2 linked regions of the Elephas maximus indicus genome follow. The protein of the gene in region 1 interacts with the protein of each later gene in a biochemical or structural test. Links are inferred from orthologs where the notes say so. Each region holds a gene or a part of one and is shown on either strand. Other genes may lie near its edges.

Evidence for each region. The genes of interacting proteins can lie anywhere in the genome.
Region 2: the proteins of guanine nucleotide-binding protein G(q) subunit alpha (region 1) and GRK2 form a complex in vitro, tested with the Homo sapiens proteins (3 studies listed by BioGRID). The link is inferred for Elephas maximus indicus from reciprocal best matches to the Homo sapiens genes GNAQ and GRK2.

What each region holds. Positions count from the first base shown.
Region 1 is NC_064827.1:94,374,562-94,382,453, forward strand, and holds the start of guanine nucleotide-binding protein G(q) subunit alpha, read right to left. Parts: upstream 3,099-7,892; 5' UTR 3,002-3,098; coding exon 2,866-3,001; intron 1-2,865.
Region 2 is NC_064825.1:130,316,293-130,323,424, reverse strand, and holds the start of GRK2 (beta-adrenergic receptor kinase 1), read right to left. Parts: upstream 3,025-7,132; 5' UTR 2,797-3,024; coding exon 2,684-2,796; intron 1-2,683. UniProt on the Homo sapiens protein: Specifically phosphorylates the agonist-occupied form of the beta-adrenergic and closely related receptors, probably inducing a desensitization of them. Key regulator of LPAR1 signaling.

The DNA of each region.
Region 1 (7,892 bases):
GATTTCTCCATATTCCTAATATACAAACCAAATCATATTTATAAACCATGTAAACAAATTTAGGAGTCCACCCTTATACCCCTGTCCAACAAGCCCATTAAAATGGCATCATGCCTTGACCCACAATTTACTTTGAAAATAATTTTATACTGAATATCAATATGCAGGTGATTCTTCAATTTAAATAAGCTGGTTAAAAAATACTAGGAAATCTTTAAACTGTGAAAGAACATATAGTGTCACCCCCTCTGGGCTGATACCGATTAAATGAATGGAGGAACCGGAAGGCTCAGTCTACTCAGCAGCACAGCACACATCAGGGCTTCCTCAAAGGGAACCCCTCCCCAACACCTTCCCTTGTTCCGCAAATCAACCATCATTTCCCTCTTGGACTCAAAAAATTGTGAAATCACGCTCCCGCACTCACCCACAAATCTACACTTAGTGTATGCTGTGACTATATCCACATTATAGATATTGCAGTGGTTACATGTTATCAGTGCAATAAACCTAGAACATAAAGCTGTACCAGCTCTTACATGATATCCAGTGATCGTGTTTCTGATAGACGGCTGTAGCATTTTTAAACCTTACTTATAAACGGAGATTCTCAATTTATGTCATATTTCCCTACCACTTCTAATAGGTCATATGGGGGCAGGAGGGCTGTATTAAACCCTACTCAAAAACCTAATGGGGGGGGAAGTTCTCCACACCAACACCACTTTAGCAGGAACACTGTTTTACTTTCCATTTTTCCCCTCACGAAATCATCTCCTAGTTCATGTTTAAATGCACAGTGTGTTATTTAAATGCACAGTATGTAATCAGGCATCCATATATGTTTTATTTCCCCAGCAGTCTTCCTCCTAGGCATTCAAACATAGGCCCTGGGGCAAAGCCCCAGCTCTAACTCAGCTGCTGGGAAACTCAGAGCTGCTGTCAATTTCAGGCAATAGGGCTGGCTTGAGAGACCTCCAACGCCCTGTTCACAGCTAGGCAGAAACAACTAACGACTGTAAACGGCAAAAGAAAAATCAAATCACTCGAAAGACAAATCACTGAAATCACCCTAAAACACATGCTTTTTCCCGTAATTGAGCCCTTAAGCACTCTATACATTTTTCTTGCCCTCTCTATTTTCTCCTCATCTTGAGAATTCAGAAAACATTCAACTATACATTGTCAACCATTAAAAGCAACCCAAAAATGAGAATTAAAAAAAAAAACCTTCATTTTCCAACTGGAGTTTCCCTTAAGCCCACCTCTTTCATCTAGGGCTCTGCCTTCTGTTCTTTATAAACCTGTGCACACTTACCTAATCGGGTTTCCAAATGAAGACATAACGCATGGCATGTGAATTAACCATTTGTAACTATGTGTGATCATTATATTTTGTTCCTTCTTGTAAATGATCCAGTACATAGCAGTTCAGTCACAAAGGCAATTGGTTCCTTGAGCCAGAAGATGGAACGCTCAAGATAAGAAAATGCCTGCTTCTCAAACCCTAACTGACAATGCAATATTCTTCTCTTACTGAAATGTTGGAGAAACATATTTATTATACAAGCAAAAAGCCAGGACACAAGTGCAGACATTTTTCAGGCCTGTTACTGCAAAGCTGTTTGCACTTCCTACCACAATAAAAGCTCAGAGTTATGTCATGCTGGCTTGTATGTGAACCCTGATGGCTTGACACTGAACATTCTCTCGGAGATAATAATCAATAGAATTCCTATTTGAGAAATGGCATTTTCTTGCTAACTTAGTGTTAAAGCAGAATGTTGAGTTGTTTGTTTAGAGATTAAAGGGAAATTTTTGCTACAAGCTTCCCGTTTTCCTTCTAGCCCAGATTCCAATGATATTAAAACGATGTCTGTTTAAAACAAACAAAAGGTTTCTATTTGTTTCCATGGGAGTAATTGGAGGCTGCATGGGTTTTCAGTAGTAACTATTGTGAATTCAGGCCTACATCTGGGTTGCCTTCATTAAACAAAAGATACCCGTCGCTGTCAACAACCACACAGCACAGCGCTCCCATATCCCTCATTTTTATCCGGAAGGAATGGTGCAGACGAGAAACAAGCCTGTCACTATCCACTGGCCAAGAAACTCCTCTGGGGTCCCTCCTTTCGGTGGTCTGACGGCTAAAGAATAGCACTTCTGTAGCATTTGGGGCTGCCCCTCTCCCCAGTACATAAGCCCCCTTTCTTTGGAGGACCAGGCACTCCTATACCTCATCACCACTCTTGGCGAATCCAGCCGCGAGTCTGCCCACCGCTCCCCAATTAACTCCAGACCCCAGAAGGCACTGATAGCGGATGCACACGCCACTCCACCACACACCATCTTCTAGCGTGTCCTGGCTCCGCTCGCCACGCTCGGGGACACACACACACACAGCTCCCCACGCGACCATCCCACCGGGCGCCGCGCTACGACACTTTAAGTTCAACCTCTCTGCCCACCTTCCCACCCCCGCGCCCCGAGCCTCTCCCGTGAAGTGATTTTCCGTTTAGCAGATGCACAGCAGATAAACGCGCACCCCGAATTCACAGCCCTAGGGACACGAAAAGGCACACGCCAAGGCACCCGGCAGGGCAGCATGAAGCGTGCGTGTGTGTGTGTGTGTGTGTGTGTGTGTGTGTGTATAAGTGCGCGCGCGCGCGCGTGTCTGTACGCGTCCGCGCGCCTGCGGGTGGTGGCCAGGGGCGCGCCCGCGCGCCCAGGGAGGGCAGGGGTGAGCCACAGGCGCCGGGGGCTGGGGGCGCCATGGGCAGCTACCCCGAGGGGCCGGGAGTGGCGGGCGGGGACACGGAAGCCCGGCGAGAGGGCACCAGGCGGCCGGGCCCGGGCCGTACTCACCGAGCAGCAGCAGCTTGAGCTCCCGGCGGGCGTCCCGCTTGTCCCTACGGAGCTGCCGCTCGATCTCGTCGTTGATCCGCCGGGCTTCCTTGGCCTCCTCGCTCAGGCAGCACGCCATGATGGACTCCAGAGTCATTCTTCCAAAGTGCCTCCGCTGCAGCCTCGCCGGCACCCCCTGCTCACACGCGCGCACACACACCCTCCCACCCTCGCTCCCCGGAGGCAGCGGTGGCCGCCGAGCCCTCGCCGCCCGGGCGCGCGGCCGGGACGAGCTCGGGGAGCCGCCGCGGGGACCACGGCCAGGGCCGGGCCACCTGGTGGGCCGGGGGGCGCGGCGGGAGCGAACGGCTCGGAGTGGTCCCCTGGGCCGCGGGAGGAACGAGGCGGGCGCGGGAGGCGGCCGCGGGCGCTGGCTCGGGGGGCGCGCGGGGGAAGGCCGCCGCGCCCGGCCTCGCTCAGACGCCCGCGCCTCCTTCCCCGGGAACGGGGAGCCCGCCTCGCCCCCCGCGCCGCCGCGGCCGCCGAGACTCCCCTAAGCTGGGCGCCGGGCGGCAAGAGCACATCCACCGGGACGTCCCCGCAGCCAGCGGCCGCCGACGGCTCCCCGCGCCCGGCGCGCCCGCTGTTCGCCGCCGCCTGACACGGCTCCCGGGCGCCCTCGGCCCTGCCCGCGCCCACCGCCCGGCTCGCGCGCAAACACCGCTTGCCGGCCGGTTCGACCGCCCGCCGCCGCGTACTCCTTCCTCCTCCTCCGTCTCCGCCTCCGCCAGACGCCCACCCCCGGCCTCGATTGCCAGGCGCGGAGCGGCTGCTCACTGCTCGCCCTCCCCCTCGCCACACACACACATTTTCTTCTTTCTCTGAACTGGAGCACAGATCCGGGAGGGAGGCGGCAGCGGCGGGAGGAGGGGGAAGAGGGAGCTAGGGGACGGACGCGGGAGGAGGGGAGCTGGGAGGCGGGGCCGCCCGGCCCCTCCTGGAAGGCTTTCCTGGGTTCGCAGCCGCCGCGGCGCGCCTCCTGGTGCGGCTCCGGCCTCTCCCGCGCAGCTCACCGCTCGGGACCGGCCCCCTCCGGCTCTGCGGGCGCTTCCCGCTCCAGCGCTCTCGTAGGGGCCCGCGGGCGCAGCGGTCACGGCCGCCCCCGGCGGGGGTCGGGGCGGGGGCTGGGTCCCCCTGGCTGGCTGACGCGGTGCCCCAACCGGCGGCCGCTGCTGTGGTCTGGGGCCGCCGCCAACCTGCCGCTGCCGGGCCAACCGCCCGGGCGTGGTAAAGCAGGAATATGGCGGCCTCCGCCTGCCTGGAATTCCAGCCCTCGAGCCCGGGAAAGCAGCCTCGGCCCCTGCTGGAAGTCGGAGGATTCAGGCCCGCAAACCCACCGAACAGCCTGGCGGCGCACACACCCTGCCCGCTCCCTGCAGGCGGCGGTGGCGCTCGCGCCAGGGCCCCCTATTGCAGCAGCGCCTTTCTGCCCCCCCCCCCACTGCAGCCGTAAACCCGCTTGTGTATTCTTTCTCATTCCTGTTTCTAAAACGCCATTCGGTTAGAAAGTATCTTGCATCACCTCTGACCCTAGTTCAGTCGTAGAAAATAAAGATCATCTGAGTTGTGGGGTGGGACTGGGGAATAGAAGAAATAGTCACTGGTTCTTGGAGGGGCCAAGAGGAAGATTAACAGGCGAAACGGTCCACAAAGAAATCTAAATCCTGAGTAGAAAAATGAAGACGCCCAAGTTTGCAAGAGCTTCCCGATGGCCTCCAACTTTTCATGCCATTGAAGGTGGTTTTGTTTTGTTTTTTACAAGGCCGCCTCTTGTTTTTGTGAAGACACATGGTGTTTAACAGCAAGTAATCAAACTTATTTTCCTAGACGGAGATTCAGTTATGGATGACGTATGGGAAAATGCAAAATAATGTGGGATAAAGGAAAAGGAAAAAATACATATATAAAAATGAGAAAATCAAGATTGTCCCAGCAAAATTCCATTCTGATTATTTGTTTTTCCACTTTTGATTGAGGCTTATTTTGTTGTGATGTACTACTGATAAATGGCAAAAAAATTTTTTCCTTGCCGATTGCGGGTGTTGTTGATCTAACAGCTAGAAGAGGTGAAAGAAACCCGCATTGCTTCCTGCTCAAGTATACTTTATGAGGAGAGTCTCTTTTTCTCATTTTATGTTTTCTCTGAGATGTCTCTGGTGCAAGGTGCTGATCCAGAATGTAAAGTAAGGTCAAGCCAAGCCAAAGGTAGCCTGTACTATTGCTGTAGGTCAGCGCACGTTGGGTTCTTGGTTGACAGCTCTATGACTTCGTTCTTTCCATTTGTCATTACCCCCATACCACCCCAGCACGTACACACACACACACACACACACACACACACTGTAAGCCAGAAGGAAAAGCAAATCATGGAGGTATAAGATCTGCTGTTTTAGTTTCCTTTTTAGAGGAATGGAGCCCCGGTGGTGCAGTGCTTAAGAGCTATGGCTGCTAACCAAAAGATTGGCAGCTCAAATCCACCAGCTGCTCCTTGGAAACCCAGTGGGGCAGTTCTACCCTCTTATATATAGGGTCATCATGAGTCAGAATCTACGTGACAGCAACGGGTTTGTTTTTTGTTTGGTTTTTAAAAGAATATTCAGCCCAGAAAATGATTCAATTTCACCTTGACCAGGAAAGCAGACAGGGCAAATCTCGCCTCTGTTATGCAAAAGTCTATGAAAAGCCAGTAAACTTGCTGCCAGATTAAAAATTTAAAATTAAGTGACTGATGAAATTAAAGATTGAAATTCAATATGCAGAAATTTAGAATGGCTTCTGGGAAAAAAACTTAATGATGAGTCTGCATTCTCTGCCATACGTATATACTTGAGTTTCAGAGAGGCAAAAAACAATAGAAAATCAAATGACAGCGAGCTTCAAGTCTGCGGTTTCCTCACAAAGGATGCACTGAGTCTTTTGAAAATGTCTCTCAAACAGTGCTATCAAACTATCAGGTAATCTGTTTTGACTGAATTGACCTATTATTTGATGGAAGAAATTAAACTGTTTCAGCAGATGGTTTGTTATTGGTAGTTGCTGTCCAGCCCATTCCAACTCATGGCCATCCTATGTGTGCAAAGTAGAACTGCTTCTTAGGGCTTTCGAGGCTGTGGCCTGTCGGAAGCAGATCTCTAGGCCTTACTTCTGAGGTGCCTATGGGTGGGTTTGAACCTTGTAGATACATTGGAAATCTAGTTTGTCACCCTTGCACACCCAGTATCAGTGACACTCCCTGGCACTCAATAGATATTTGAATTAAAAAAAACCCGTTGCCATCGAGTCGATTCCGACACAGTGACCCTATAGGATAGAGTAGAACTGCCCCATAGTTTCCAAGGAGCACCTGGCGGATTTGAACTGCCGACCCTTTGGTCAATGGCTGTAGCACTTAGCCACCATGCCACCATGGTTTCCATAGATAGAACAAATCAGATGTTTCTTCAAGTACTGGGAAGAAATCAGGAAGTAAGGAAAACCAACGCAATAATAGAGCCATGTGTAGGTGGCAAGAAGGAAAGAGGAAAAGAATATTCCATGTCTGAACCTAGACTTATCCAGAAACCTTTACCTATATATCTGAAAAGCATTTATCAAACAAATATTCATATGTCACACAAAAAAATCCTTGCAGGAACTACTAAAGTTATCGGCCATGTTCTAGAAGCATATACTCTAAAATATGCAACTAAACATGAATCATGTTACAAAATGTCAGTATATCAATCAAGAAACATTTATTCATTGCCCACTGTGTATAAATAACAAAGATGAAGGTGCAGGAAGAGAGAGCCACTAGGGTGAATCAAATATGGTCTTGCCCTCAAGAGGCTTATAGTCTTAAGATATAATGAGGCTCTGAACAGCTGTAATAAAAGACAAAATGAGATTAATTTTATTAAAGTAGGGGTAGAAGTGACAATGTAAAACGTTTTAGAAAGAAAGGAATAATTCCTTCTGTTAGGGAGAACTGAAGACTTCACGAGGAAGGTGGAGAATGAATAACTTTTCAATAAATGGGGATCTACACCTCATAAAAATAAATGAGCAATCCCAAATCACCCCAGATAGCAAGATAAAAAAAAAAAACATTTTGAGAATTTACTAGATAGCTGAAAAGCGAACCACAAAACCCAAAGAACGTTAAACTCCAGAGGAAAATGGGAAGACTGTCACATCTTCTTTGGTATCCTAAGGTGGATACCTATCACCACAATCACATTACCTGTCGTTGGGACTCTGGGGTGGGGCAGAACAAAGCAGTAAAAGTCATAGTTCAGTATTGTGAGGAGTGATCCCAGACTCAATGAAAAGGCCCAGTTCTTGTAGAAAGAGCTCCTGGGGAAGGGAAAGCTTGTTAATCAATGACTCTCAGCACTTCTTTTGTTCTCATAGTCACATAGCATGGCTGCTTCATAGCCTGTGCCACCCTGCTGTAATTGTCTACTTATTCTCCCTCTCTCTCTCTCCCAGGAGTCCTTGGGCGGAGCAAACAGTTAAGCACTGGACTACTAACTTAAAAAGCTGACAGTTCAAACCCACCCAGAGGCACCTTGAAAGACAGGCCTGGCAGTCTGCTTCCAAAAGTTCACAGCCTTGAAGGCGCTACGTATAGAGTAGTCCTACTCTGAAACACGTAGGATCACCGTGAGGCAGGATCCACTTGACGGCAACTAACAACTCTCCCATAAGATTGGGAGTTGCTTGAGAGCAGGGACTGTGTCTTCCATAACAGTCGTCAACGCCTAGCCCAGAGCAGATACTCAGTAAGTGACAAATAAACAACCTGCCTCAAAGACAAACACACTCACAGATTGCCTGTCCCAGGCAGGGCATTATGCCAGAGCCATCCAAGGCCCTTCCTTAAAGCCTTTATACTCTATTTGGGCGGTCAGTCGCATGCGTTAACGAACAAACAACAACACAAGGTGCAGAGCATTCCCTGCTGAGTATAGGGAATAGATTGCTATAGGTGTTCAGAAGGAGGAGCA
Region 2 (7,132 bases), on another chromosome or scaffold:
TCTGGAGGGGAGACAGAAGGCAGAGGGGGTCAGGAGTTGGCTGAATGGATGCGGAGACAGAGGGTGGAGAGGAGTGTGCTGTCTCATTGGGGGAGGGTGGCTAGGAGTATATAGCAAGGTGTATATAAAGATTTGTATGAGATACTGACTTGATTTGTAAACTTTCACTTAAAGCACAATCAAATAAATAAACAAACAAACGTGCGCCGAGGTGACAACAGAGGTGTTCGGGGTGGACAGAGAAGCATAGCGGGAAAGCAGCACTGGCCAGAGGTCCAGAGAGCACGGTTCAAATTCCAGCTCTTCTCTGATACCAAGTCTCTCTCCCTCTGAGTCTCAGTTTCTTCAGCTATTAAATGGGGAGAAAACCACCTGATGTGCTTGCTTCCCACCGTCGTGGAAAGGATAAAATGGAGTCAGAGCGCTTTGCAAACTGGGAAGTGCCAGGCAAATGTGAGCTATAGTCACATCGCCGCTGAGGGCCAGGAGACACTGGACCCACTGGCTACAGTGTCATCACACACCTAGGCCTGGACTCCTGGGTGTCGGTGCCCTGCCATCCAGAGCTAGCGCCTCCGGCCACCTCATGGGTGTGGGGGATGTACCCAACATCCTGCTGCCAGATGGTGACCCTATATGAGAAGCCACAGCACCTGGCTCTCAGCCTCCAGCTGCTCCCTTAGCACTGCCTGCCTGGTCTCCACTTAGGAACAGGGCAGCCAGAACACAGCCCTCCGGGATTTCCTGAGCAACTATTCCATGCAAGGCACAGGCCTTGCCAACTTCACAGGTTCTTTTAGAGCCAACTGAGATGACAGATGTCAAAATCAGTAACAACTTGATTATCATTTCCATCCTGATTCCTATCACCACGACGATCACCACCCTGGACGGCCAAGGAGACAGGAAAAGAAGAACGGCTTGTTTCTCAGGGTTCTAACACCTGCACGGCCAACCCAAGGCGGGGCCCCATCATGAGCAATGCATTCTGGGGTTAGATTACCCAAACACAGAGAGTTCCAGAAAGGGCTCCACCTCACACTTCGCAGAACTCCAGCCTGCAGGAGGGTCTTGAGGCCGCGGCCACCGCGAAGAGCCATTGCGAGCCCTCGAGGTTGGCTCCCCCCATTTCCTCTCTCGTGGCTTTGTCATTTCTGAACTCATTTTGTTCTAACTGTCTCAGCTCCCTGGTCAGCCCCCAGCTGACAGTCAGTTCTGGTTCCTGTTTTGAGAAATCTGATAGCAAACGTCTTAGAAAAAAAGGGGCCCTAACGGCCTTTTCAAAGCGCAGGCCCATTTTCCTCTCTCTCCCAAGCTTGGTGTTCAGTCAACGTGAAACCCAGCAAAAGGGCAGGGTGGAGGGCACCATTGGGAGACTCCTGCAGCTCCAGGCTGAGGCAGCTGCGGCCCTGCTCGGGGGCCTCAGGACACCACAGAGCCACAGCCCTCATTTCACGTCATCCACATTTCACAGATGAGAGAACCGAGGCCCAGACATGGGAAGGGACTTGCCCAGAGTCACAGCAGGCCCGCTCCCAGGCATTGGAGGAATGGCTGGGACTGGCCACGTGACATAAGGAATCACGGTGGGCACACAGCCCTCACAGATGCAGCGTGTCCAGGCAGTAGACGGAACGTAGAGCTAGAAGCTAGAATCCCTGAGGTGGTGGCCGGGTTCCACCCTGTGTTATCTGTGTATCAGTGGGCAGGCCACTCACCTCTGGAGCTTCTGTTTCCCCACCTGTTCCACAGGAATGAATCCACACCTGTCCTACCCACCCCACGAGCTGCTAGGAGGCCCGTACAATGGGAAAGCCATAAAGTGCTGGACAGACTGAGCCCTCTGCATACCCTGTATACCTGCAGCTACATCCTGAAAAGTTTTAAACTTTGATACCAAGCATGGTGACATCAGCTGTCTTACAGAGGTGGCAACCCTGGCCCAGCTGCCGCAGGGCTGCTGGAATGTCCCCTGGTCAACAGCACTCAGCAGGGCACACCACACACAGGGCCCACCAGAGAAGGCATGCCAAGGGGAGAGGACACAGTGGGCGGCCCAGCCAGCACCCGAGCACAGCCCACCTGGACACCGTGCACAGATCCCACCGGGCTCCCCCTACACACCTGCCCAAAAAGCACTCCCAGATTCAGCCCCCGGACAGTGGTCCCATGACAGGAGTGGGAAATATCCCCAGGAAGCAGCCCCAAGACTTGTTGCCCCCCACCCCAACCTCCAACAACTGGCAGGGGTGGGGGAGAGGAAGCGGTGCTGGGGGTAGGAGCAGCCCAAGCATGGGCGATAGCTGATAGCTCCGGCCAGGCAAATGACGGCAGGCCGAGGAGACCCCGCGGGGACCAAGGGCTGCTCAGAGGAGTAAGAAGGGGAGAAGGCAGCAGTGTGGGGCTGACAGGGAGGGAGGGAGCCCGGAGTGGGCCACGGGACGCTGGGAGCGCCTGGGAGACAGTTGAGCTGGGAGCCCGGGGGCCCCAGGTTCAGGTGCACGGGGCCTCGGGACCCAGTCGGAGCCGCTCAGGGCTGCTGGCCCGCGAGCAGCGGCGGGGCAGAGGGGGTCCCGAGGGCCAGTGCTGGGGGTCTGGGGCTGCGGGTCGGGGCTCCGGGTCGGGACTCGGGGCACGGGGCTGCGGTGGGGTCGAGGCAGGGGCGCCCCGCGCGCGGCCTCACCTGGGCTCGGGCAGCAGGATCTTCTTGCTGGCGCGCGCGGCCGGCGTGGCCTTGCTCTTCTCCATGGCCATCAGGTAGCTCACGTCGGCCAGCACCGCCTCCAGGTCCGCCATCTTGGCGGCGGCGGCGGCCTCCTCCCGCCGCTCCGCTCCCTCGCTGCTCGGCGCGCTCGGCCGCCCGGCCGCTCCGCTCGGCTCGGCCGCCGCCGCCGCCCGCTCGGCCCCGCGGCCCCGCTCGCCCGCTCACAGGCGGCGCCGCCCCATAGCGCCGGCTCGGCCCGGCCGGCTCGCACTCCGCTCCCGCCGGGACTGCAGTCGGGGCGCCGCCGCCGCCGCCGCCGAAGCCGCCGCCGCCGCCGCCGTCGCCGCCGCCCGCGCCCCGGAGCCGCCGGAGCCACCGCCGCCTCCGGCCCCGCCTGCCGCGCACAGCGCCAGGAGCCGCGAGGGGCCGAGCCGGCGGCGGCGGGGCGCCCCCTGGAGGCTGCGGGCCGCCTGGCCTGACCCCGAGCCAGGCTTGGGACCAGGAGCCCAGACCCCGACCGTGACCTTGGCTCCAGGCCCAAACACCACAAGGGCCTGGGACCGAATGGGACCCCAGACCCAAACCTTGACCACAACCTCAGATCCCAACTCCAGACTGGGCTCCCCAGGCTTGGCTCTGACACTGACCACGACCTCAGACCCAGACTTCAGAACATGATTTCCAGGACTTCAGCCTCAGACCCTGACGGTAGCCCCAGACTCCCTGACCCAGGACTCAGTCCATGACCTGGATAGCAGTCCTGACCCCAGACTCCAAAACAGGAACCCCAGACCCAGACCTTGGGCCAAGACCTCACACACTGACCACAACCTGAGATGACAACCCTGGGCAGCCGACTCCACACCCAGACCTTCACGCTGACCCTAGAGTCCCCAGTAGGACCCCCAGATCCAGACTTTGGACCATGACCGCAATCTGGTTACTGACCCCAACCTTGATTTCAACCCCAGAACCACACCATTACCGTAACCATGATTCCTGGACTTGATGTCAGGGCCCAGACCTGGATTTGAACCATCAAGACCGGACCAAGGTCCAAGACCCAATGCCCGGGACTCTAGACACACAGGACACAGGACATTCAACCCGGACCCAGAACCCTGAACAGGTCACCAGGACCAAGGACCTGGGACTTGACAACTACAGCCAGACTCCAGACTTCTCCCAGCCCCATTCCGGCCTCAGGACCCCCAGACAGGATCAAGGACCCTGCACCCAGCTCCACCCACTCTGGATGAGCCCAGCCCCCTTCCCTGCACCCCATCCCATCCAGAGGCTGCTGTTCATTCAGATGACTCCACAACGTGGGATCAGACAGACAGGGCACAGGGGCTTCAGCACTGCCTGGCAAAGGAAACCCACCACGCTGAGAGCCCACTCCCAGGTAGGGAGGAGCCGTGTGGCTCCAGGTAGCACCACCATCTCAATGTTCCCCTCTTCAGAGCCCCTCTGTCTTTCTCAGGTGACAGGACCCACTCCCAGTCCTGGACATGTGGAGCTCAATCTTCAGGCCAGTTCAGCAATCAGGACCCTCTTGCAAAACAGGGACCCCCTCCCCGGGGACTTCTCAGGGAAGGAGGAGGCCACAGCTACTTTCTCAGATCAGCCCCAGCAGAGCCTAGAACCAGAGCACCTCAGAGAGGGCAAGGTCCCGTTCTCAACGAGTGACACCCCCATGCACCTAGATACCCAAGTCAGGACTCCAGGCATCATTCCTTGATTCACTTCACCATTTTTTTAAATCACCATACCCTCTTATCTGGCCCCCTGAGAATCTCCTTGAAGCTGTTCGTGTCTCAGGATCCCCATGACCACTGCCCTGGTGCAGGCCCTGACCAGACTTGCCTCTCCCAAATCTATATCTAACCAGGTCACCACCTGCTTAGCATCTAGAAGTGGATTTCTAGGCCTTCTGGGGCTGCTGAGGGTCGGGGACCCCAAGGGAAACTGCAGACCCCCACTCCACTTTGTTCAAAGCAGACCAGGTTAAGATGCTTTTGAACCTGCAAGTCAAGGTCTTGGGTGACTGGGCCCTGCTCCCCTTTTCCCCATCCTCTGCACCTGGGGTCCCTCCACCAGCCTACCTATGACTCCTCACCTCCGTGCCTTTGCTGTTTCCTGTGCCTTCTTCCTTGGCTAACTCCTGCTCATCCTTTAAGACCCACCTCCTCCAGGTAGCCTTCCCTGACCCCGTGACCTGAACTGGGTACATCTCTGACTCTGCATTTTTACCACCTGTTGTTGTTGGATGCCTTAGGGTCCATTTCAACTCATAGTGAGCCCATGTGACAGAATAGAAGAGCTCCATAGAATTTTCTAGGCTGTAATTACTACATAAGTAGATCCCCAGATTTTTCTCCCGCAGAGCTGCTGGGTGGGTTTGAACTGCCAACCTTTGGGTTAGCAGTTAAGTGCTTAGCTATTGTACCACCAGGGCTCCTTACTTACTTATGAGAACCAGTTTCCTTGATTTGAAATCATCAATAGCAAGGTGCACCATTTCACGTTTTTGACCATGGGGGTGGGCTTTATCAAATGTTTGCATCAAGTGGAAAATGCATCGTGATGTTGGGAATGCTCAGTTCAAAAAAAAAAGGAGACACTGCATCTCCCGTGGTACCGAGGCTCCAGGTTTATCTCTTGCCCCCGGTGTCTGGCACAGGGCCCAGCACAGGGACTGACACAGACAGGACATTTGTCAGTATCTGATGAATAAATGAGCTCCCTACCCAAGGTGTCGTGTGGAATTGGGGGCAGAACAGGGCCAGGGGCACACCAGGAAACCACAACAGGAGGCCCTGAACCCTCTCCCTGACCCCAGCCCCGAATCATGAGGACTGTGAGTACAGCCGTGTGCTGGCCTGGGTTTTCTGGGACAGGCTCCGTTTAGGAAATTCTTCCTGAGGAACTTATCAGACCAGGGGCTGCACGTGGGTTCTGGGAGGCAGCCCTGCCTTCCTCCACCACTTGAGAACCCAGATGGCCCCTCCTGCCTGCCCACAGCTCAACCCACATCCCGGGCTAGGCCGGAAGCCCTCGAGGGAGCCTGTCTCCTGGGTGCCCCTCAGTGAGTCCAGGGGCCCAGGAAAGTGGGTTCTGGAAGCCCGGGTTAGGAATAAAGTGGTGCCAGTACCTGACCCCAGGGAGGCTGATTTTTGGGATGGTGCTGCCCTCTGGTGGTATGGGAAGGCCGGTTGCTAAGCTTGCCTTATCTCACAGGCTTCAGGCATTCCTTCTCTCAACAAACCTCGCTGGTGCCCAGAAAGTGCCAGGCTTTAGCTGGGATGCTGGGAGTGCAAAGAGGAAAGGAACCCCAACTCCACCCAGCTGGCAGACTCGTAGACACATGGTTACTTGGTATCTGCACCGATGACTAATGAAGTTTTGCAAACTTAACACATCCCACACGGGGCTCTGACTCCCGCTGCCCAGCTCTTGCCTAGCCTGTTCCTCCTGCCTCCGCATCTCAGTCATGGCTCCTTCACCTTCCAGAAACTCTGGAGTCATCCCAATTTCACGGTTCCTTCATCTCCCGCTTCACCTCACATACACGCACGCTGTCAGCCAGCCTGTCCTGTCGGCTACCTGGTGTGTCTGTCTCTAAAATATACCCTGAATCCTTCCACTGTGGCCTGTGAAACCCGGGCCTGAGTCCCCATCACCTCCCTCCTAGATGCCCACACCTGCTCCTGAGGTCTCCCTCTTGTCCTCGAGCCCATCCGTCCACTCCCCCAGCAGTCAGCCAGAGTTTTCACAGACCACAGTCAGACCTGCCTCCAATAGCTGCTCCCCGCATGTAGGGTAAAGCCCACCCTCCTTTCTGGGACCTGTAAAAGCTGTGTGGCCTGGCCCCTGGCCACTGCTTTAACTCCTTCCCCCTTCCTCTTGTTCCTTGGTGTCTGACCTCCCTGGTCTTTCTGTCGCTAGGACAAGCCGAGCTCAGGTTCACCTCTGGGGCCTTGCCTCTATGGCTCCCCATGCCCAAACACCTTTTCCCCCACTTCCGGCATGGTGGGCCCCTGCTCAAAGCTCTCCCTTGGAACTTCTCTCTGTGGTGGTCACCATGGCACCTTTCATACCCAGCATGGCCCCTGGCACAAAACTGGGGCCACAGAGAGAACAGGACTCAGTGTCAGCCCAGTCCAGTGGGGAAGAAGATCCTTAAACGCACACCTCCAATTAACCAGGCAAGAGCTATAATACAGGTAGGTGGGACACTCAGGGGAAAAGTGTGGTCAGCTGGAGGGTCAGGGAAGGCCTGAGCGAGGTCTTGACTGTGTGTGCACAGATGAGGTCTGGGATGAGGACCAGCACACACCAAGGTCCAGGAGGGGGTGTTCCCGCCTGCTGGAGCCTCATGTCTGTCTCTCCATCCCTGTCCTGGGCTTTGAAGATCTGGGAGGGTGA